3 linked regions of the Diceros bicornis minor genome follow. The protein of the gene in region 1 binds, or shares a complex with, the protein of each later gene. Links are inferred from orthologs where the notes say so. Each region holds a gene or a part of one and is shown in the gene's direction. Other genes may lie near its edges.

Region 1 (6,944 bases):
AGTAAGTGCCTGGCCCAGGAAAGGACACCGTTCTAAGGATACAACTGTGAATAGAAGAGACAAAAATACCTCCTTGCATAGTGATGTCATTCTGGAGGGGGCAACATATTATTTCCTAGGGCTGCTGCAACAAGTTATACAAACATGGGTGGCTTAAAGCAACAGAAATTTATTTTCTCACGTTCAGGAGGCCAGAAGTCCAAAATCAAGGTATCAGCATGGCCATGCTCCCTCTGGAGGCTCTAGGGAAGAATCCTTCCTTGCCTCTTCCAGCCTCTGGTGGTCCCAGGCTTTTCTTGGCTTGTAGCAGGTTGACTCAGGGACTGCTGTGTCTCTGCCTCTGTATTCACATCACCTTCTTCACTGAGTATATCTCTGTGTCGTCACATGGTCTCTCTGTGTGTCTGTGTCCGATTCCCTTCTACTTATAAGGACACCAAGCATCAGATTAGGGTCTACCCTAATCCAGTATGACCTCGTCTTAACTTTATTACATCTGAAAAGACCCTATTTCCAAATAAGGTCACATTCACAGGTACCAGGTGTTAGGACTTGAACATATCCTTTTGGGGGACACATTTTATAGGCATTAAACAAGATAAATAAGGAAACCATATGGCACAGTAGACAGTGACATGTGCTAAGGTATAAAATGAAGCAGGGAGGGAATGGAAGTGTCTGGGGCACTGCAGTTTTAGACAAGGAGGCGAGGGAAGGCCTTGCTGAGATGGTGACATTTGAGTCAAGACTTAAAAAGGTAAGAAAGTGAGCCATGTGGGAAGTCGGAGGGAAGAGTGAACCAGGCAGAGGTGCAGCTCATGCAAAGGGCCTGAGGTGGGAGTGTGCCTGCAAATTTGAGGAACTTCAAGGAGGCTATGTGACTGGAAGAGAGTGAAGGGCAAGAAGTGGTAGGAAATGAGATCAGATAGGTAGCAGGGGGTGGGGGTCCAGTTCATGTAGGGCTCTGTAGGACACAAAGTGTTCCGACTTACAGTCTCCTGTTTCATGGGGTAGCCTGTCAGCCCTGAGATTCTGGTGATTTCCCTCTCTCCATCAGACATCTATGCCATTGGGGTGGGCAACCTGGATGTGGACTGGAGAGAATTGAACGAGCTGGGGTCCAAGAAGGATGGCGAGAGGCATGCGTTCATTCTGCAGGATGCAGAGGCTCTGAGCCAGGTCTTTGAGCACATGCTGGGTGAGTGAGCTTTGCCCTCTCTGGAATGGGGTGGGCAGTGAGGAGCAGCCAGGGGTCCAGGTTGGGAACCTGCTCACAGTGTTCCTCACCTGCCTCCTTCTGCATCTGCTCCTCACACCCACAGATGTCTCTCGGCTCACAGACACTATCTGTGGGGTGGGGAACATGTCAGCCAATGCTTCCGCCCAGGAGAGGACACCCTGGCATGTCACTATTAAGGTATGAGGAAGCAGGGATGGGGCTTGGATCCAGAGGTGAAAGCAGCCATGGGCCAGAGACACAGCAGTCCCTGAAGATTACCTGTCCCCCTGCAGCCCAAGAGCCAGGAGACCTGCCGGGGGGCCCTCATCTCTGACCAGTGGGTCCTGACAGCTGCTCACTGCTTCCGCCAAGCTGAGGACCGTACTCTGTGGAGGGTCAATGTGGGTAAGACAGGGCCCGCACCAGGTTCCCGACTCCATGGCCAGAGCTCCCAACCCTTGTCCCTAGCATCTGGCCTCTTCAGGAACCCTGGCCCAGCCTAATCCGCCATATTGTTCCCAGGGGATCCCAACTCCAAGTGGGGCAAAGACTTTGAGATTGAGAAGGCAGTGATCTCCTCGGGGTTCGATGTCTATGCCAAGAAGAATCAGGGAATTCCAGAGTTCTATGGGGATGACATCGCCCTGCTGAAGCTGGCCAAGAAAGTGGAGATGTCCACTCATGCCAGGTGCTGGAGTCTGGGATGGGAGGGCGCCCTCCAGGGGAGAGTGCTCTGCGGAGCTCCGGAAGAGGGGTCACTGAAGACAGGCCTGTGTGACCCTTGCCCTTCTTTCCAGGCCCATCTGCCTTCCCTGTACAGTGGGGGCCAACCTGGCTCTGCGGAGACCGCCAGGTAGCAGCTGCCAAACCCACGGTGAGTGCTGGGGCTTCGGGTGCATGAGGAGCTGGGACCACGACTTGGGGGTGATGACATGGGCTGTGCTGCCATCCCCAAGTCTAGAGTCTGGATAAAGGGACCAGCACCACATCCCCTTCTCTTTGACTGCAGAGCTTGAACTTCTGAACCAACAGAGCATTCCTGCTCATTTTGTGGCCTTGAATGGGAGCAGACTGAACATTAACCTTAAGACAGGGACAGAGGTGAGGGTCTCAGGTCCGGGACGCGGTGGGGGATGGGATTCCCCTGTGGCAGTTCCCAGAACATCTCTCTTCCTCTTCTAGCTCTGGCTGTGTTCTCCACGTCACCCCGAGTTGCCCCTCCTCCCAGGCCTAGCTGCACACCAGGTATCCCCTGGGCTTTCTCATTCCATCCTTCTCTCCTGTTCCACCCCTACTGCAGTGGGCAAACTGTATCAAGGTCGTCTCCCAAGACAAGACCACATTCCCCAACCTGACAGATGTTGGAGAGGTGGTGACAGACCAGTTCCTATGCAGTGGGACCGAGAAGGATGACAATCCCTGCAAGGGTGAGCCCCTCTCACCCACACCCCATCCCAGAGCCTGGATTCTTGAGGGGATGGCTATCCATGTCCCATGGCCAGCATGCACACCAGGACACCGGTGCACTGCCTGGATGACAGGGGAGCAGGGCGAGAGTCAGGATGACAGTCTTTTGTCTCTCCTTTCTGGCAGGAGAATCTGGGGGAGCAGTTTTCCTCGAGCGGAGATTCAGGTTTTTTCAGGTGAGGCGAGAAGAGAGAAGCTCGCGAGATGGGGGTTACAGGATTTTGGCCTTGTAGAGGGATGAGGGAGGACTTTGAAGGAACCAGGGAGGTTAGGGCTTGGAGCTGGGGCTGTGGCAGCCTCCCACCCCATTCTCTCTTTCTTCCAGGTGGGCCTGGTGAGCTGGGGTCTCTACAACCCCTGCGGCAGCACCGATAAAAAAGCCCGCAAAAGGGCCCCCCCTGGCAGGGTCCCACCGCCAAGAGATTTCCACATCAATCTCTTCCGCCTGCAGCCCTGGCTCAGGCAGCACCTGGAAGGCGTACTGAACTTTTTGCCCCTCTAATCATGGCCACAACCCTTTTGCGGTCCTGCCAGCATCTGCCATCTCTCCCATCTCCTACCTCTGAACTTCCACCCTCAGACCCCATGCCCTATTCTCACTCCCAACTCTCAGTAAACCCCAGCCTCCAGGATCCCGAAGCAGCATATTTGAGCTGGGGAATCCCCAGGGCTCCTGCCAGTGCCCATCCCACCCTCTGCTTTACTTGGCTCACTCTCCTTTCACTTTCACATGGAATTTCCCAGTTATGAAATTAATAAAAATCAGTGATTTCCACATCTGTCCGTGCCTCTGCCTGGGGGCTGCCTTCAGGGGAGGGGAAGGCCGGAATGATTCCAGGAACTGCAGGAAGGCAGGTCAGAGACCCTGCTGGACAAACAGTGGCTGGACTCTGCTCCATAACCGAGTCAACAGAGGAGCGAGCTGGGGCCTTATTTCTGGTCACTAAGAGGGCGGTCTGGGCTTATTGGGGGGGAACTGGGGCTGAGAGGAGGTGTTGAAGGGGAGAGTCCCGGACCCTGGGCAGCAAAGGGTGGGGCTTGTGCAGTTTCTATTTCCTTGACTGGTGGCTCAGTGGGGGCCCTCCCGCTTGGACATTCCGGAAAGTGATGTGGGTAGGGCGGGTGGGGTGAGCTGCAGGTGCCAGAATACAGATTGCATAAAAGGCTAGAGGTTGTGGGGGGCAGGGGAAGGGAGTGCAAGCAGGCCTGGGTGTGGAGTTTCAGCTTGGACACTGAGCCAAGCAGACACGCAGTGCAAGCGGGATAGGCCATCCTGCCCCCAGTCCCAGCTTCTCTCCTGCCTTCCATCGCCATGGGGAGCAATCTCAGCCCCCAATTCTGCTTGGTACCCTTGGTCCTGGGCCTCTTGTTTGGAGGTAAGTGAGAGTCACTGTCCCCCTCCTTCTGCCCCTGGCATCCCTCCTTGGCCTTGTGAGGCTAGGTTTCATCAGCCTTTTTCTTTAGATGTGAGCACGACACCATTGCCTGTGGCCGAACCCCAAGACTCCTGCTCTCTGGAGGGAGTAGAGATCAAAGGCGGCTCCTTCCGGCTTCTCAAGGAGGGCCAGGCACTGGAGTACATGTGTCCCGCTGGCTTCTACCCGTACCCTATGCAAACTCGCACCTGCAGATCCACGGGCTCCTGGAGCACCCTGAAGACCCAAGACCAAAAGATTGTCAAGAAGGCAGAATGCAGAGGTTGGAGGGTGGTGAGGGTGGGCATGGGCCAGCAGAGGGACAGAGCAGGTGGCAGCCATACAAGGATGAGATTAGAGTTGCATTGAGACCAGGCAGGCAGACAAATTGGGCTGAGCAAGAGTAGGAGCTGTCTAGGGCTGGAGGTGGGAAGGAGGGAGGAGGAAAGGAGCTAACTTTTACTAAGCATTCGCCCTGTGCCAGGCAGCCCTGGCAGTTAATGGAACACTCAGAAATGGGGAGAGAGGAGCAGTGGGACTCCCCATGGGTTGAGGGACTCTCCAAGGGTTGAGGGTAGACTCTGCTCCTGTGGGACCAAGAAGACAGTGTTTCTCACTGACACGGTCCCTGAGACCAGCAGAGATACCCTAAAGGGCAGCCCTTCCCTCTCAGTAACTTCTACTTGTCCCCCTCCCCCAAAGCAATTCGCTGCCCAAGACCACAGGACTTTGAGAATGGGGAGTACTGGCCCCGGGCCCCCTACTACAATTTGAGTGATGAGATCTCCTTCCGCTGCTATGATGGTTACACTCTCCGGGGCTCTGCCAATCGCACCTGCCAAGAGACTGGTCGGTGGGATGGGCAAACGGCCATCTGCGATGATGGAGGTGAGAAGCATCCCATCCCCCAACAACAGTACCCTCTCCATGACCGCGCTCCAGCCTGAGGAACAGGCACCATAGCTCTTGTGCTCTACTTTGCCCTCTGGGCCTCAGGCTTTGGTGCTCATCTTCATGTCTCATGCCTCTGCAGCGGCGTACTGCCCCAACCCAGGCATCCCCCTTGGCACAAGGAAGGTGGGCAGCCAGTACCGCCTCGAAGACAGTGTCACCTACTACTGCAGCCGGGGGCTCACCCTACGTGGCTCCCAGAGGCGAACATGCCAGGAAGGTGGCTCTTGGAGTGGAACGGAGCCTTCCTGCCAAGGTGACCCTTGACCTGTGCCCTCAGGTCAGAACCTGCTCTCCCATCCTCAGGTTCCCACACCATGGCAGTGTCTTCTCCCCCTACCACAACTCAGCTCTTTCCTCACTTCTAAACCTCCCTGTAGAACTTCCTCACTTCTGAGCCCTTCCCACCCTGGAAACCCAGCATCCTCTGCCTCTCTGGTCACTGTATCCCCGACGTTCCCAGATATTTGACCTGATTTCTGACCTCTCCCAGACTCCTTTATGTACGACACCCCTGCAGAGGTGGCCGAAGCCTTCCTGTCTTCCCTGACAGAGACCATAGAAGGAGTCGATGCCGAGGATGGGCACAGCCCAGGTTTGAAGGCAGAGAGGGGAGGCAGGGCAGGGAATTGGAGGAGGATGGAGAAGGGGCAGGAGGACTATGCATGCTGGAGCCTGAGTCTCTCTGGTGGCACCCAGGGGAACAACAGAAGAGGAAGATTGTCCTGGACCCCTCAGGCTCCATGAACATCTACATGGTGCTGGATGGATCAGACAGCGTTGGGGCCCACAACTTCACAGGGGCCAAGAATTGTCTCAGAGACTTCATTGAGAAGGTGGAACCCCTGCCCTTTGGATGTGGGGACCCTGAATGGACCTTATTGCCCTACCAGGACTAGCTCCCTTGTGCTCCCAGGCCCTCTGATGAAAATCTCCAGGTCCTATTCTGTCCTGCTCTTTTACTTGAAGCAGTTTCTTGACCTTTAACCCACACTCCTCCATGAACCTTAAGGTAACCAGTCAGCCCTTCAGTCTTTTTTTTGTGTGTGTGTGTAAGGAAGATCAGCCCTGAGCTAACATCCATGCCAATCCTTCTCTTTTTTCTGAGGAAGACTGGCCCTGAGCTAACATCTGTGCCTATCTTCCTCCACTTTATATGGGACACCGCCACAGCGTGGCCTGACAAGCGGTGCGTCGGTGCAAGCCCGGGATCCGAACCTGGGCCGCCAGCAACGGAACGCACGCACCTAACCGCTATGCCACAGGGCCAGCACCAGCCCTTCAGTCTCTTACTATGACCATCCCTGTCCCAGCAAAGCTGCTGAATTCTCCCAAATATAGTATTCTACTCTCAATGCCATGACTCCTTGCTCCTCTCACCCACAGGTGGCAAGTTATGGGGTGAAGCCAAAATATGGTCTAGTGACATATGCCACAGTCCCCAAGATTTTGATCAGAGTGTCCGAAGACAAGAGCAGCGATGCAGACTGGGTCACAGAGAAGCTCAATGAAATCAGCTACGAAGGTCAGAGGTCAGGGAAGGGAATGGTAGCAGGTTCACTTTGGGGTCAGAGAGGCCAGAAGGTTCAGGGGTGTTGTGGGAAGCAGGTAGTGAGACCATGTGTGCGGGCAGGGAGGACCACTTTGAAGTCCGTGGTTGGACAGCAGGGTCACGGGAGAATGGCAGTTAGTGGGAACCCGTTGGGGCGGAGAGGGTCACTTTGTGGTCAAAGGGAAGTCAGTGGAGTGATGATCAACTTAAAAAGTTGAAAGATGTAGGATCTCAGTTGCTGATAGGCCTCTGGTGTTCTGGGATGGCTTGAAAGACTGGGTGAGGTGATGATGTTTTCCCTTTCCACAGATCACAAATTAAAGGCAGGAACTAACACCAA
Region 2 (7,426 bases), on another chromosome or scaffold:
CATGCTTCCTGCTGTCACCCCCTCGTCTCCACGTCCCCGGGGGGGACAGGAAGTGGGGCAACGGCAACGGCCTCGGCGTGGGGGCCATAAGAGGGGCCGGCGGGCACGGGGGGCAGAGACGCGGAGCCTCGCCCGACCATGACTGGCAGCCGCACACCCTCCAGCCCTGTACTCGCCCCCATCCTGCTGGCTGTGCTGCTGGGCGGTGAGTGGGGCGGCGTGTCCGTCTGTCTGTCCCTGGACGTCTCTTCCTGCCTCTCATGGGCCCCTCGTCCTCGTGGGGAGGTGACGGCTGGGATGAGGTGACATGTTTCCAGAGGAAGAGACTGAGGTTCTGAGTGGTGGGAGTCCAGAGCTGGGGTTTGAACCGGGGGGTCCCTGGGCGCCCTCTGGGGACTCCAAAGCCACGTTAAGCCCCAATCTAGCCGCACCCCGGCTGGGGGACCATGGCAGCCCCCTCTCTGCGTCTCTGTGCCTCAGTTTCCCCATCTGGGCAGTGAGCACAAAGAGCCTGGACCCCTTGGGGTCCTGGTGTGAGCCGGGTGGCTGACCGGCCCTGCCCCCCCGTGTGCCCCAGGCCCTGCACTGGCCTTGGAGATCGTGGGTGGCCAGCCGGCCCGGCCCCATGCGTGGCCCTTCATGGTGTCCCTGCAGCGGGGAAGCCACTTCTGCGGGGCCACCCTGATCGCCCGTGACTTCGTCCTGTCGGCCGCGCACTGCGTGAATGGCCGGTGAGTCCCCCGTATCCGCCCCGGCCCTCAGTGTCCCCGTCTGTCCTCGCTCCTCGAGGGGCGGGCTGACCCCCGACCCCGGGGCCGCCCGAGTCACCCCCTGTCCCCCCGTTGCCGGCAGCAACTTCCGGTCGGTGCAGGTGGTGCTGGGGGCCCACAACCTGCGGCGGCGCGAGCGCACCCGCCAGACATTCGGCGTCCGGAGGATCTTCGAGAACGGCTTCGACCCCACGACGCTGCAGAACGACATCGTGGTTCTCCAGGTGGGGGCCAGGGGCCGGGGGGTGGACAGGGGGACCCCAGCTGTCACAGGCACGTCGTCTCTCTGTGCCTCGGTCTCCCCTCTGTGACTCGGGGAGACAAACCCCGCCTGGCCGGGCCTCGGAGAGATTGTGAGAGACGACATCGGGAGCTCTGAGCAATAGTCAATCAACAAACGCCGTTATTCGTGCCCTGTCACAAGTCCCACATTCGGGCCAGCGGGAGACTCAAGGCAGAAACCCTCCCATCCCACTCTTCTGATTCTTCTCTGAGAATGTTCTAGAACGAGGGTTTTATTGGCCTCAGTGTTGCCCATGGTTTGTTTTATTGAGCACCTACTGTTTATAGCACCATTATTAAGCACCTCCTGTTTACAGCACTCAAGTCATGTCCGGGGCGCCCCGGGCCACTGTGGTTGCTGCCAATTACAGACAGGGAAACTGAGGCCGGGGAGGGGAGGGCCGTCGCCCGCGCCCCGTGTGACACTCACGTGCTCTGTCCCAGCTCGACGGGTTGGCCACCATCAATGCCAACGTGCAGGTGGCCCAGCTGCCCGCCCAGGGGCGCAGCCCCAGGAACGGGACGCAGTGCCTGGCCATGGGCTGGGGCCGGCTGGGCACCAATGGGCGGCTGCCCAGCATCCTGCAGCAGCTCAACGTGACGGTGGTGACCTCCCTGTGCCAACGCTCCAACGTGTGCACGCTGGTGCCGCGGCGCCGGGCCGGCATCTGCTTCGTGAGTGCCCCCCGCGTCCCCCACCCCGAGCCCCGCCCGGCCCCAGCAACCCGGCCAGCGGCCGGACCCCGGGAGGGACTGCCCGACCCCGAGCGGGGCGGGGCCCGGGCAGCGCAGCCTCCCACCCCGTCTGTCGGGCTCCGCAGGGCGACTCTGGCGGGCCGCTGGTCTGCGACGGGCTGGTCCAGGGCATCGACTCCTTCATCCGCGGAGGCTGCGGCTCTGGCTTCTACCCCGACGCCTTCGCCCCCGTCGCGCAGTTCGCCAGCTGGATCAACTCCATCCTCCGCCGCCACGGGGACCCTCTGAGCGGGGCCCGCTAGGAAGGGCGGCCCGGGTGCCCCTGCCTCGCCTGCCCCAGCCAGGCCCTTCCCACGCCGCGTCCCCGGGCACCTCGCCCAATAAAAACCCTCTCCCTTTTGTAGAACGTGTCTGGCTGTGTGTCGGTTGTGCCAGCGGGTGTGGAAAGTCGTCAGGGCACCTCTGGGGTATGCTGCCACCAGGTGGCGGCAAATGTGGGGCATTGACGTGAGAAGTCCCTTCCCCACCTCCTTCCACGAAAGGATTCGGGTTACCATTTCTGGATTCCCCCCCATAAAACCCACTTTCATGGGATCACACGAGTGTCGCCGGTGGTGATGACAAAGCACTGTGGCGGTGTTCGTTGAGTGCTCACGAGGTACGGGAATGTTCTGAGTCTTGGGGGGACCTCACTCCTCCAGCCCTCGAGGGGGGTCCTCTTGGAGCCCCCGCCTCACAGACAAGGGAGTGGGGGCGCAGAGAGGTGTGAAGCCGGGCCCGGGAGCCTGAGTTTGACGCCCAGCTCTGTGACTTTGGGCAACTCGCTCACTGTCTCTGAGCCTCGGTTTCACCGCCGTCTGGAAAGGGCACAGCCTGGGGTGGGGTCCTGGTGGCCTCGGCTGCACTGGGTGACGGGGACGAGCCACCCCCCACCCTGGACTTTTGCTCTGATGAGGGAAGAGGGGCAGAGCACGTTTCCCGAGGGAACCACGCCCCGATGGAACCAGCCCTGGGGGGGCCTGTGCCCCTCTTCTGCCTCCCTGGGCCGGGGCCACGGGCGGGACCATCTCCATCGTGCAGCTCGAAGGCTGATGGTGGCGGGGCCACCAAAGCAGAGACAAAAAACGAGAGAAGTGACTTCACATAACGCCCCCACGTGCCGCGAGTTTGAGGTGAATCTCCCCCTCCGTCCCTGCCCCGACCCCTCCCGCTGGAGCTCGTGGCCCGGGGCCCACCCGGGGTCTTTGCCTCATTCTGCCCCCTGTCCCCGCGGGCCGTCCGCCGACCCCCCTCTCCCGGGGCCAGCAGCTCAGAGCGGCCTCCGCTGCCCCGAGATGGCCTCCCCCACAGACCTTGGCGCCTGGCGGTCTCTCCACGTCAGCGGCATCTGGGGACACTCAGGGTTGTTTAGTGAACCGGCCGGTCTCGCTGGGTGGCCTCCAGGTTTTGTTGTAATTTCATAATTGTCCCCTCTTACATAACCCGGACTCCGCATCCCCACGGCTGTTTGTTCAGTTTCTGATTTTAACGAGGAAACGTGTTAGTTAGGAAATCACGTTTGCTGTGTTATTTTCTATTTTCCTCTGCGTGTATGAAATCGTCTGCCTGGAAGGGAAAAGAAATAGAGGGGAAAGTATCACGCACGGTTCCCACTGGGGACGTCGAGGTCCCCCGACCCTGCTGGTCCCAGCACCTTCCCCTGTAGGTTCCTGAGGGGTTGAGCCAGCATCCCCCCCTTACTGAGGGCTGTGTGAGCCGGGGTCCACTCATGAGAACCCGCCATCCCCTGCCCCCAGTGCCTGGTTTGGGAGGGGGTGTGCGGTCCAAGCTCGGCCAACTAGAGGTGGCCTTGAGACACTGGCTGGAGTGATGGGGAATTTGAGGAGGCCCACAGAGCCGCTAGGCTGAGTCTGGGGCCCCGGGGGACAGAGTAGGGGAGCCTGGTGAGGAGAAAAGCCATCAAGGAGGAAAGTAGAAACCAGAGGCAGAGACCTGACATTTTTTAGGTGCCTGGATCAAGCCACACCTGAAGGTGGACCCTGAACTTTCCATTTGAATTTCCTCATCTTCCCCGCTGCCCCCCTACACGACAACTTTCCAATACTGTTGTTGGGGTGTCAGGCCCCAGAGCCACAGCCACGGGGACAAGGGTGTCAGGCGACCTTTCTCCCACCCCCACCCGACCTCCTGTCCAAGTTGGAGGAGGAAGAAAACAAAGGGAGGAGCGAACGCATGAGGAAATGGTTGTTTATAAACTATGGCCTCTAGCTGCTGTTGCGAAACCTCAGGGCCCCCTGGGGAGCAGGGGCTGGGGGCTGGGGTGGGTCCGGCTCTGCCCCCTGCCCATCCTGAGGGTCTGCTCCCCACTCTGGGGCCAGCCCTGGGCCGGGTGCGCAGAGGCGGGAGGCATCCCCGGGGGCCAACGACTCTTGGCGCAAAGTCCCCCAGGAGAAAACCCGCAGGAGTGGGCGGGACACAAGGTTCCCCTTTCCCCTGCTGGGCCGCTGCCCCTCGGACCATGGGGCTTGTGGGAGCCGCCCGCCCCTCTCCGCTCTGATAAAAGCACCCCCGGGGCCCCGCCTGGGCCAGTGTGAGGCCACAGCGGCATCATGGCAGGCCACACCGGGCACCTGGCGGCTCTGGTCCTCCTGGGCGTGGCCCTATGTGGTGAGTGGACCTGGGATGGCAGGGATAGCCGGGGGGCCACCCGCCTGCAGGGTGGTCAGCCAGGGGTCCCCCTCTGCCAAACAAGACTGTCCCCCAGCCCCATTCGGTGGGCAGGAGGAGCGGCAGGGTCCATGAGAGCGGAAGGCTCTGAAAGTCAAGAAATTCTCAGAACCCTGATGCATGAGCATCCTGCACTCCCCCCCCCCACAACAAGGGTCTGAGGGTCTATGGTGGGAAACGGGGGTCCGGGGTGAAACCACGGCGGGAGGGTTGGGTTTGGTCACCCCACTCTTCTCCTGTTTAACTTGAAGCCCTTAGGGCGGTGTGTAGGGAGGGAATTGGCTCCAGACCCCACCACGCCCTATTGCCTCTGTCTCCTCTGGCACTCCTCCCTGGCCCCCAGATTTGAGACTGGGCGGGGGATCCCAGGGATGGAATTTCAGGTCTGAGGGCTGGGGCGGCCTGGGTGGGGAAGGGGCATCCGAGGGCTGGGCTGCAGTCACCCGGAAGCCCTCGCGCCCCCTGCCGCCCCCAGCGGCGCAGCCCCGCGGCCGGATCCTGCGCGGCCAGGAGGCCGAGGCGCACGCGCGGCCCTACATGGCGTCGGTGCAGGTGGCCGGCAAGCACGTGTGCGGGGGCTTCCTGGTGGCGGCGCAGTGGGTGCTGAGCGCCGCGCACTGCCTGGAGGACGCGTGAGTGCGGGCGCGCGGGAGTACAGGGTGGGGACCCGGTGCGGGTCCGGGGGGAGGGTGGATGGGGAGACCGGCTCTGACCCGCTTGGACTCCCCCAGGGCCGGCGGGAAGGTGCAGGTGCTCCTGGGCGCGCACTCCCTGTCGCAGCCCGAGCCCTCGAAGCGCCTGTACGACGTGCTCCGCGCGGTGCCGCACCCGGACAGCCGGCCGGACACCAACGACCACGACCTCCTCCTGCTGCAGGTGGGCCTGGCCCCGCCGCGGCGCCCCTTGCTGCCCCCGGGACCCCGGCCCGCCCGCCCCATCCCCCCGAGTCCAGCCGCGGTCCCTCCTGCTGCACTGGGGACCCCGGCCCCCCGCCCCATCCCCCCGAGTCTCACCGCGGTGCCTCCTGCTGTGCTGGGGACCCCGGCCACCCCCCCGCCCCATCCCCCCGAGTCCAGCCGCGGTCCCTCCTGCTGCACTGGGGACCCCGGCCCCCCGCCCCATCCCCCCGAGTCTCACCGCGGTCCCTCCTGCTGCACTGGGGACCCCGGCCACCCCCCCGCCCCATCCCCCCGAGTCTCACCGCGGTGCCTCCTGCTGTGCTGGGGCCCCCACCGCCCCATGCCCCCGAGTCTCACCGCGGTCCCTCCTGCTGCGCTGGGGCCCCCACCGCCCCCGGCCCTGACGCCGCCCCCCTCCCCCAGCTGTCTGAGGAGGCCGTGCTGGGCCCCGCGGTGCAGCCCCTGCGCTGGCAGCACGAGGACCGCGACGTGGCGGCCGGCACGCTCTGCGACGTGGCCGGCTGGGGCGTGGTCAGCCACACCGGCCGGCGGCCCGACCGCCTGCAGCACTTGCTCCTGCGGGTGATCGACCGCGCCACCTGCAACCTGCGCACCTACCACGACGGCACCATCACTGAGCGCATGATGTGCGCGGAAAGCAACCGCAGAGACACCTGCAAGGTGCGCGGGCGGGGCGGGGCGTGCGGGAAGAGGGCGGGGCCCGGAGAGGGGCGGGGCCGAGAGAAGGGCGGGGCGTGGGGGGAGGGGCGGGGCCCGGAGAGGGATGGGGCCTAGAGAAGGGCGGGGCGTGCGGAGGAGGGCGGGGCCCGGAGAGGGGCGGGGCCGAGAGAAGGGCGGGGCGTGCGAAGGAAGGCGGGGCCCAGAGAGGGGCGGGGCCGAGAGAAGGGCGGGGCGTGCGAAGGAAGGCGGGGCCCAGAGAGGGGCGGGGCCGAGAGAAGGGCGGGGCGTGCGGAGGAGGGCGGGGCCCGGAGAGGGGCGGGGCTGAGAGAAGGGCGGGGCGGGCGGGGCTTGGGGCGGGCCAGGAGAGGGGTGGGGCACGCGTGATGGGCGGGGCCAAGAGGGGCGGAGCTGAGAGAAGGGGCGGGTCCGAGCCAGGGGTGGGGCACACAGAGTGTGCGGCGGGGCACGCGGGTGGGCGAGGCCAGAAGGCGTTGGGGTTGGCAGGGGCAGGACGTGAACGAGGACAGAGCCAACAGAGGGGGCGGGGCCAAGAGGGGCGGGGCCAGGAGTGGTGGGGCACTGAGAGGGCGGGGCTGGTGAGGAACAGCGCATGTGTAGGGCGGGGCCAACAGAAGGGGCATGTCAACAGAAAGGGGCGGGGCCAACCGAGGGGGCGGAGCCGGCGAGGAGCGGGACATGCAGAGGGCGGGGCCAACAGATGGGCGGGTTATACGGGTCTAGATGAGTGGGCGTGGCCTCAGGAAGATGAGGGGCTGAGATGGGGGGGTCAATGACAGGGACAGGCCCAGGGAGGGACTGGCCTGAGGTCAGGCAGGGCTGGGAGGAGAGGTGCCATACAGAAGAGGGTGCAGATGAGGTGCAGGGCCCGAGCCTGGAGAGGGTCAGGAGTGGCGCAAGGTAAGAGGAGCGGGTTGACGCCGAGACAAGACAGGCCTGGGACAGAGGGTGGGGCGGGGCCGGGAGGCGGGGCTTGGTGGGCGGGGCCTGGGGAGATTGACGAGCCAGGAAGCAGATTGGGGCTGGAGGGAGGAGCGGAATTGCAGCGGCAGCGGAACCGGAGCGGGACCTGGAGGCCACGGGGCCTGCGGGGCCCTGCGCCCACCCTGACGGCCCTCCCCTCACTGCCCCCCAACGCAGGGCGACTCCGGGGGCCCGCTGGTGTGCGGGGGCGTGGTCGAGGGCATCGTCACCTCGGGCTCGCGCATCTGCGGCAACCCCAAAAAGCCCGGCATCTACACGCGCGTGGCGAGCTACGCGGCCTGGATCGAAGGCGTGATGGCCGGGGGCGCGGCAGCCTGAGGGGGACCCGAGGGGCGGCGGCCACGGGCTGAGCAATAAAATCTTGTAGTC
Region 3 (7,230 bases), on another chromosome or scaffold:
GACTGAGTGTGACAGGCATGACTTTGTGTGGAAGGCGGTGAGGGTGTGAGGTTGATTGTGAAAGAGACAGCATGATGGTGTGTGTCAGAAATAGTATTAGAGACTGAAGATTGGTAACCAGGTGTGTGAAAAAGAGAGAAACTGTGGAAAGCTGTGATCGCATGTATATATGTGCGAAACTGTGTGAGAAAGTGAAAGTTGTGACCACAAACTTGACATTGTGGCTGTGTGTCAGAAAATCACTGTCAGACTGAATGAGTGATTAAGGCAGTATACAAGAAACCGGTGGTGTGTGTGAAATAATGTTTATGAGAAGGCAGTGGGGGCTGCACATCAGTCTCTGTTTGACAGACTGATGGTGAGCCAGACAGACTGAGTGATCAAAACAATGTGTGAGAGCCTATATGGGCATGAAAGTGTGGTAGAGATTGTCAAGGACTGTGTGTCGGTGAAAGAGTTCACTGTATGTAAGCAGGTACTCAGTGTTTGGGAGATAGATTGTGTGTGAAACTGTTCGTGCAAGGCTGTCGTATCAACTAGAGTAATGGGGCTTATGTGTGAGAAGTTGATTGAGAGAAAATGGGTGCCTGAGACACAAGATACATGAATGCGGGATTGTGTGTTTGAAAACTGTTCACGCGAGACTGGCAAAGACTGTGTAAGAAACTGGGAAAAAACGGCTATGACTGGGAGAGCATGAGAGGCTGTAATTGTGTGTGTACCAGAGACTAGTGGCAAATTGATTTACAGTGACTAGTCTAGCCCACAGGTTCAGGGACTGTGAAAGTGTGAGAGAAAATGATGGTGAGTCTGAGTGAAGTGGTACCACATAACTGAGCGAGAGACGATAAGTAAGAATAACGTCAGCGCTGCGTGAGAGAAAATTGACGACTGAGCAGAGTTTAAGAGTATGTGGGTCTGCGAAACATTTCATAAGAGATTATAAATTGGAGACTATGTATTTGTGAAAAACAGAAAATGAGACACTGAGAGACCATGTGATTGGTGTGTGGGAGAAACCAGCAAGGCTGTAATTGTGTTTGAGTGTACGTGATAAGCTGACTGTATGAAGAAGAAGATGATGTGAATAACTGAGATAGGCCCTGAGAGACTGTGTGTGTGAGACTTAATGAGAGCCTAGTAGTGATTGTGAATTAGTGACTACACATGTCAGAAGCTGACTGAGGGAAAGTGACTGTGACACCGAATGGGTGACTGAGACAGTATCTGTAAAAGTGATTGTGTGAGTATGTGTAAAACTCTTCGCGTGGGACTTGATTAAAGGCTGTAAATAAAGGACTGGGTATGTTAGAAACTGCTTGAGAAGTGTGAGACTAGGTGGTGACTAGGACAATGTCTGAGGTATTGTGATTGTGTTTGTGTGTGCAACTCAGCTATAATCGGACTGTGGGTGTGTGAAATAGGGGCTTGATTGTGAAGAGGTGCGAGAGAAGATTTTGTATGTGTACAAGAAACTTCATGAGAGACTAGTGGCTGTAAATCAGTGACTATTTGTGGATGTGAGAAAATTATGGCCTGTGTGAATGGTTGAAACATCTTATCAAAAGGTGTGACTGGTTTGTGTGCACGTGAAAAACTGGTAAAAGTAAATCGTGGTGATATTTGCCGAATGAGACAGCCTATGAGACGTGATTGTGTGTGTGTGTGTGTGTGTGTGTGTGTGTGTGAGAGAGAGAGAGAGAGAGAGAGAGAGAGAGAGAGAGAGAGAGAGAGAGAGAGTGTTAGTAGGAGACGATAGTAAGACTGGGAATCAATGACTCCCTGAGTGAGTGGCTGAGGATGTCTGAGAGGCTGTGTGATCGAGTATGTATATGAGCCTGTTTGTAACAGACTATAGTTGAGGCTGGAAATCCAGAACTATGTGTGTAACTATGTTTTTTAAAAAGTGAAGGAAAATGACTGAGACCAAATGAGACTGTATGAGAGACCACGAATGGAATGTGCCAGGCCTAGGGGAGAGCCCTCTTCTGTTTGTTCTCTTCCTCCACAGATCCCTCCTCCTCAATCCCCTGGGCTGGCTTCTCCCAGTTCTCCAAAACTTGAAATGCTGAAGTTCCCCGGGGCTTTGCCTGGGGTTCCCTTCCCTCTTCTCACAAGCCCCCTTCAGGCAGTCTGCCCCAGTCCTGGCACCTGAGACCCGACTCCCCTGGTGACGCCCACATTTTTACCTCCAACCCAGACTGTTCCTGTTAGCACTTACCCAGAATCTCTAAGTTTTGTTTACTTCGTTTATTTAGTCATTCAGCAGATGTTTGCTGAGCCCTGCAGACACAGTGGTTAACAAACCAGACAGAAACCCCTGCCTTTAGAGCTGGTATTTTAGTGAAGACGTTGGACAAGAAACAAATACATCATGTCAGGTGGTGGTGCAATAATTACATGAGACAAGACTCTCTCACTCTTTGTTTAAATAAGAAATCTGCAGAGTCGTTTTATTGCCCAAACGTGTGGGAGCAGATGAAAACGCCGACAGTCCTCTTCCACAGGAATCCTATGAGTATTTATACAGTTTAGGAACAAAGGAAATATCGATTATAGCATTATTACCTGGGCAACGGGTGATAGATAAAGCAACCAACCAGAATTACAGGTTTCTTGGGAGTTTGTTTTCACAGGATAACGCAGCACTGATGTCTGAAGTCTTAGAATCTTAACAAGACCCTTTTGTTCAAAGCACACTTGCAAAGACAGGCTATATTATCAGGAAACAGAGTACGTCTGTAATGGATATGAATGTCAACACGCCTTATCACCCATAAAACAAGACCAATGTTCTTGAGAAAGTTCTGTTTTAACACCTGACCAAATCAAATTCTTTTACTTTAATTTGCAGAATGGTATTTCTCCCTCCATGAATGCAAGAGAAATGAGACCTTGCCTTCCTAACTTTCTTAGACTCCTTTTTGTTAAAAAGCTTTCTGTTTTTAAAGCAGGCTCTAGAGTTTCACTCATTAGGGCTTATGAAAAAAAAAAGAGGGGGTCGTGGAACTCAGTTTTACCTGCATGGAAAATGAGCTGAAGAGGAATTAATTATTAACAGTAAAATAAGGAGCATGTAGAATAGTTTTTGTAGATGAGACCTACAAAGAAAAAGAGGGGTCAGGGACTAGAATGATGGTTCTTAAAGTGTGGTCCCCAGACCAGCAGCTTCCGTGTCACCTGGGAGCCTGTTAGAAGTGCACATTCTTTTTTTTTTTTTTTATAATTTTATTTATTTTTTATTTTTCCCCCAAAGCCCCAGTAGATGGTTGTATGTCATAGTTGCACATCCTTCTAGTTGCTGTATGTGGGACGCAGCCTCAGCATGGCTGGAGAAGCGGTGCGTCGGTGCACGCCCGGGATCCGAACCTGGGCCGCCAGCAGCGGAGCGCGCACACTTAGCCGCTAAGCCACGGGGCCGGCCCAAAAGAAGTGCACATTCTTGAGCCCCACCACAGACTTATAGAATCAGAAACGGGGGTGGGGCCCAGCAATCTGTGATTTAAGAAACCTTCCAGATGATTCTGATGTATGCTAAGATGTGAGAGCCACTGACCTAGAGAGCGACAGGGGTGCCGTACATAAAGGGTAGCTAGGGACAACCTCTGTGAGGGAGGTGACAGTTATTGTCTGTCTCCACTTTCAGAGCGCAAGCCCTTTGAGGGCCAGGATTTTTGGCCGTCTTGTTCTCTGTTCCGTCCAATGCTAAGAACAGCATCTGGCACCCGATGGGTGCCCAATAAATATTGAATAAATTTATGTAACAAACACAGAGCATGTACTGTATGCCAGGCACTGTGCTAAGGACTTTTTAAAATCTTTACTCCCAATCTTTGCAACAAACCCTATGATGTAAGTTCAGGGAGGGAGGTGTCACCTACCCAAGTTACTCTGATGGAACATGGCCAAGCCAGTTCCCTGCCAACCACCCCTCCCCAGGCCCTGAAGGTGTCCCCGGCTGGGCCCCTGGGACAGTGGATATCCCCAACTCACTCCTCCTGAATCCTCCCCACACTCTTGCCACTTCCCCTTCTCACTTCCCTTGTGCTGACCTCCCTTCCCCATGCTGACCACAGGAAACCTCGCTTTCAGGAAAGAGGAGGGCAAGGCAGTGGGCAAGTCAGGATGGGGGATGAAGCAATTACCTCAATGCCTGCTCCACCCCGTGAGGAGGCATACTGAGCACGCCACACTCATTTCACCCTTGTTCAATGCCCCTGTGAGGTTGACCCTGTCGTTGGGGTGGAGATTATGCATCTTAGAGGTGGAGAAACAGGCTCAGAGAAGTTCAAGTGACTTGCCTAAGGTCACACAGCTAGGAAGCTCATCTTGCTCCAAACTCCTATGCTACATTTCCCCTCAGTGAGAATTTGTCCAAGGAGCATTGATTGAGTGCTAAAGGGTTGCTGGGCAGGGCCTGGGGTGCTGGGGATACAGTGACAAACAAAACAGGATCAAGAGCGAGACAGGAAGTAGGAAGGGGAGAGTAGAGGAGGAGGCTCAGAGGAGAGGTGACAGGGGAAAGGTTGGAGCTGAAGAGACCTGCATGATGCCCTCCCCTCCCCCGTGCTGCCCTTCGCCCTCCCAGTTCCTCCTGCCCATGGTTCCTCTTTCCCGCTGACTCTGGGAGCCGGTCAGCCTGCAGAAAGCCAGGCCTCCTCTCTGGCGGAGCTGCAGGGTGCAGGGCTCAGCATGCCTGCCCTGGCGCAGGCCCCTCGGTTGCTGCTGCTGCCTCTGCTGCTGCTGCTTCTCACTCTGCCAGCCACAGGTGAGTGGGGGAGGACCCAGCTGGGCCCCGAGGTGCCCGGGCCCACCACACTCCTGACCATGCCCCCCCCCGCCATGTTACAGGCTCAGACCCCGTACTCTGCTTCACCCAGTATGAGGAATCCTCAGGCAAGTGCAAGGGCCTCCTGGGGGGAGGTGTTAGTGTGGAAGACTGCTGTCTCAACGCTGCCTATGCCTTCCAGGAGCCCGGCAGGAAGCTCTGTCAGGCATGCAGGTTAGGGGGAGCCTGGGGTTGTGGGGAGGCAGAACTGGGCTCATTCCTTCTCTGGGTTTTCCAAGGGTGGCTCCAAGGCCCTGAATATGACCATAGCTCGGGATTTCTCAGCCTCGGTTCTATTGATAATTGGGGCCAGAAAATTCTTTGTTGTGGGAGGCTGACCTGTGCATCGCGGGGTATTTCATAGCATCCCTCCCACTAGATGCCAGTAGCAACTGCCCCTGCCAGTTGCAACAACCAAAATTTCTCCAGACATTGCCGAATGTCCCCTGGGAGCAAAATCACCCCTGGCTGAGAACCACTGCCATGGTTTACATTTATTGAGCACTTCCTGCATACTGGAAGCATTGTGGGTGGGGTGCAGCTCAGGTATTTCTGAAGGTAACTCAAGTCTCCTAATTGTGATGACAGCTCATATTGAGTGCTTACTGTATACAGATGCACTGTGGGGGTGGGAGTTTGGGGAATTCTGAGGGCAGCTCCAGGCCCCTAATTATGATGACACTTCACATTCATTGAGGACTTCTGGCACACCAGATGCATTGCAGAGGTCGAGGGTAGCTGGAGGATTTCTGAGGGTAGCTCTAGTCTCCTAATCATGACACCAGCTTACATGCATTGAGCCTTTACTGTATGCCAGACATTTTTTTTTTTTGTGAGGAAGGTTAGCCCTGAGCTAACATCTGTTGCCAAACCTCCTCTTTTTGCTGAGGAAGTTTGGCCCTGGGCTAACATCCGTGCCCATCTTCCCATCTTCCTCTACTTTATATGGGACGCCGCCAGAGCATGGCTTGATAAGCAGTGCGTAGGTCTGCGCCTGGGATCTGAACCTGCAAACCCCAGGCCACCAAAGCGGAGTGCGCGAACCTAACCGCTACGCCGCGGGGCTGGCTCCTGCCAGACATATTTTTAGCTGCTTACTGTATAGTCTAGATACACCATGGGGATGGGGAGCTCGGGGATTTGCGAAGGCAGTTCTGGGCCCCTGGTCCTGTCAACAGTTCACATCTATTTAGCGTTATGCTGTGCAGGGAGTTGGGAATAGATCTGGGGTATTTCTGACAGGGTCTCTGAGCTCATTGGGATGATGGCTCCTATTTATTAAGCACTTCCTGTTTGCCTGCTACCGTCCACAATGGTGGCCTGGTGGGTTTCTGACAGCTGTTCTGGATCCCTAGTCCTTACATTTGCTTACTGCATGCCTGGCAGTGTCCTTGGGGGTCTTCAAAGGGTAACTTTAGATCCCTGATCATGAAGGTAAATGGCATTTATTAAGCACTTATTGTGTACCCACCTCTTCCCATTCAATCCCCCAACATCCCTAAGAGGTAGGTGCTCTCATCAATCTATTCCACATACATTTATCCCACACCCGTGCCTGGGCCTGCCCACACCGTGCAATGCTGTACACCATCCTTGTCAGCTCGTGCCAGGATGGGAGACATGCTCTTCTTTGCAGGTACCCACGATGGTCACCGTGGTCTGCGTGGGCCCCCTGCTCAGTTACCTGTGCTGAGGGCTCCCAGCTGCGGCACCGGCGCTGCATAGGCTGGGGCGGGCAGTGCTCTGAGAAGGTGGCACCTGGAACCCTCGAGTGGCAGCTGCAAGCCTGTGAGGAACAGCCATGCTGTCCTGGTGAGGAGGATCAGCAAAGTGGACAAGCACTGCCCATTAGCCAGCACTGGGAATGATCAGGACAGAGGCCCTTAGGGTGGGACTGTGCCTGATTCATGAGGTACTAAGGAGGAGGCTGGTGTGGCTGGAGGAGAGTGGTGGGAGGTGAAGTCAGAGGGGGCCTGATCCCTGTGGGCCATGGTGAGGATGTTGGCTTTTATTCTGAGGGGTGTGGGCTGTGGGCAGAGGAGAACCGTGATCTGACTTGGGTTGTGACAGATCTCTCTCGCTGTCAGGAGGAGGACAGCCTGCATGTGGTGAGGGGTGAAGCAGGGGGACCGGTGTGAAGGCTACTGCAATAGTCCAGATGAGCAATGATGGTGGGCCAAGTGTGGCAGAGGATATGGAAACAGGATTGACTTATGTAGGGTTCATGAGGAAGCAAGGACTCCTGAATGACAGCCCCACCTCCATCCTGTCCCCCTCTCTTCTCTTCCACAGAGATAGGTGGCTGGTCCGACTGGGGGCCCTGGGCGCCTTGCTCTGTTACCTGCTCCAAAGGGACCCGGACCCGTCGTCGAGCATGTGATCGCCCCATCCCCAAGTGTGGG

Evidence for each region.
Region 2: the proteins of CFB (region 1) and CFD are in contact, whole or in part, in a crystal structure (PDB 2XWB), measured with the Homo sapiens proteins. The link is inferred for Diceros bicornis minor from reciprocal best matches to the Homo sapiens genes CFB and CFD. Residues at the interface, in NP_001701.2 of Homo sapiens: Glu298, Ala301, Ser302, Ala332, Asp333, Ile469, Asp470, Glu471, Ser472, Glu518, Tyr519, Lys585, Asp758, Glu759, Asp760; in NP_001919.2 of Homo sapiens: Asn157, His158, Ala159, Gly160, Arg161, Arg162, Arg182, Thr183, Asp186, Arg200, Val228, Cys229, Gly230, Asn231, Arg232, Lys233.
Region 3: the proteins of CFB (region 1) and CFP are in contact, whole or in part, in a crystal structure (PDB 7NOZ), measured with the Homo sapiens proteins. The link is inferred for Diceros bicornis minor from reciprocal best matches to the Homo sapiens genes CFB and CFP. Residues at the interface, in NP_001701.2 of Homo sapiens: Glu54, Gln56, Ser78, Thr316, Tyr317, Leu349, Ser351, Met394; in NP_001138724.1 of Homo sapiens: Arg329, Arg330, Asn331, Lys333, Pro341, Met420, Val421.

Annotation. Positions count from the first base shown.
Region 1 is NC_080753.1:32,874,000-32,880,943, reverse strand, and holds the start of CFB (complement factor B), read left to right. Parts: upstream 1-3,876; 5' UTR 3,877-3,998; coding exon 3,999-4,062; intron 4,063-4,150; coding exon 4,151-4,384; intron 4,385-4,803; coding exon 4,804-4,989; intron 4,990-5,134; coding exon 5,135-5,308; intron 5,309-5,545; coding exon 5,546-5,647; intron 5,648-5,751; coding exon 5,752-5,888; intron 5,889-6,438; coding exon 6,439-6,577; intron 6,578-6,913; coding exon 6,914-6,944. Other genes in the region: complement C2, read left to right, coding at 1,058-1,198, 1,323-1,417, 1,513-1,624, 1,742-1,907, 2,017-2,093, 2,229-2,320, 2,520-2,646, 2,813-2,862 and 1 more.
Region 2 is NW_026691553.1:446,532-453,957, forward strand, and holds the start of CFD (complement factor D), read left to right. Parts: upstream 1-4,333; 5' UTR 4,334-4,357; coding exon 4,358-4,415; intron 4,416-4,950; coding exon 4,951-5,107; intron 5,108-5,206; coding exon 5,207-5,351; intron 5,352-5,797; coding exon 5,798-6,055; intron 6,056-7,213; coding exon 7,214-7,375; 3' UTR 7,376-7,426. Other genes in the region: myeloblastin-like, read left to right, coding at 1-90; ELANE (neutrophil elastase), read left to right, coding at 139-205, 578-731, 853-994, 1,497-1,727, 1,874-2,050.
Region 3 is NC_080781.1:41,386,255-41,393,484, reverse strand, and holds the start of CFP (properdin), read left to right. Parts: upstream 1-4,148; 5' UTR 4,149-4,692; coding exon 4,693-4,768; intron 4,769-4,851; coding exon 4,852-5,002; intron 5,003-6,464; coding exon 6,465-6,640; intron 6,641-7,120; coding exon 7,121-7,230. UniProt on the Homo sapiens protein: A positive regulator of the alternate pathway (AP) of complement. It binds to and stabilizes the C3- and C5-convertase enzyme complexes. Inhibits CFI-CFH mediated degradation of Complement C3 beta chain (C3b).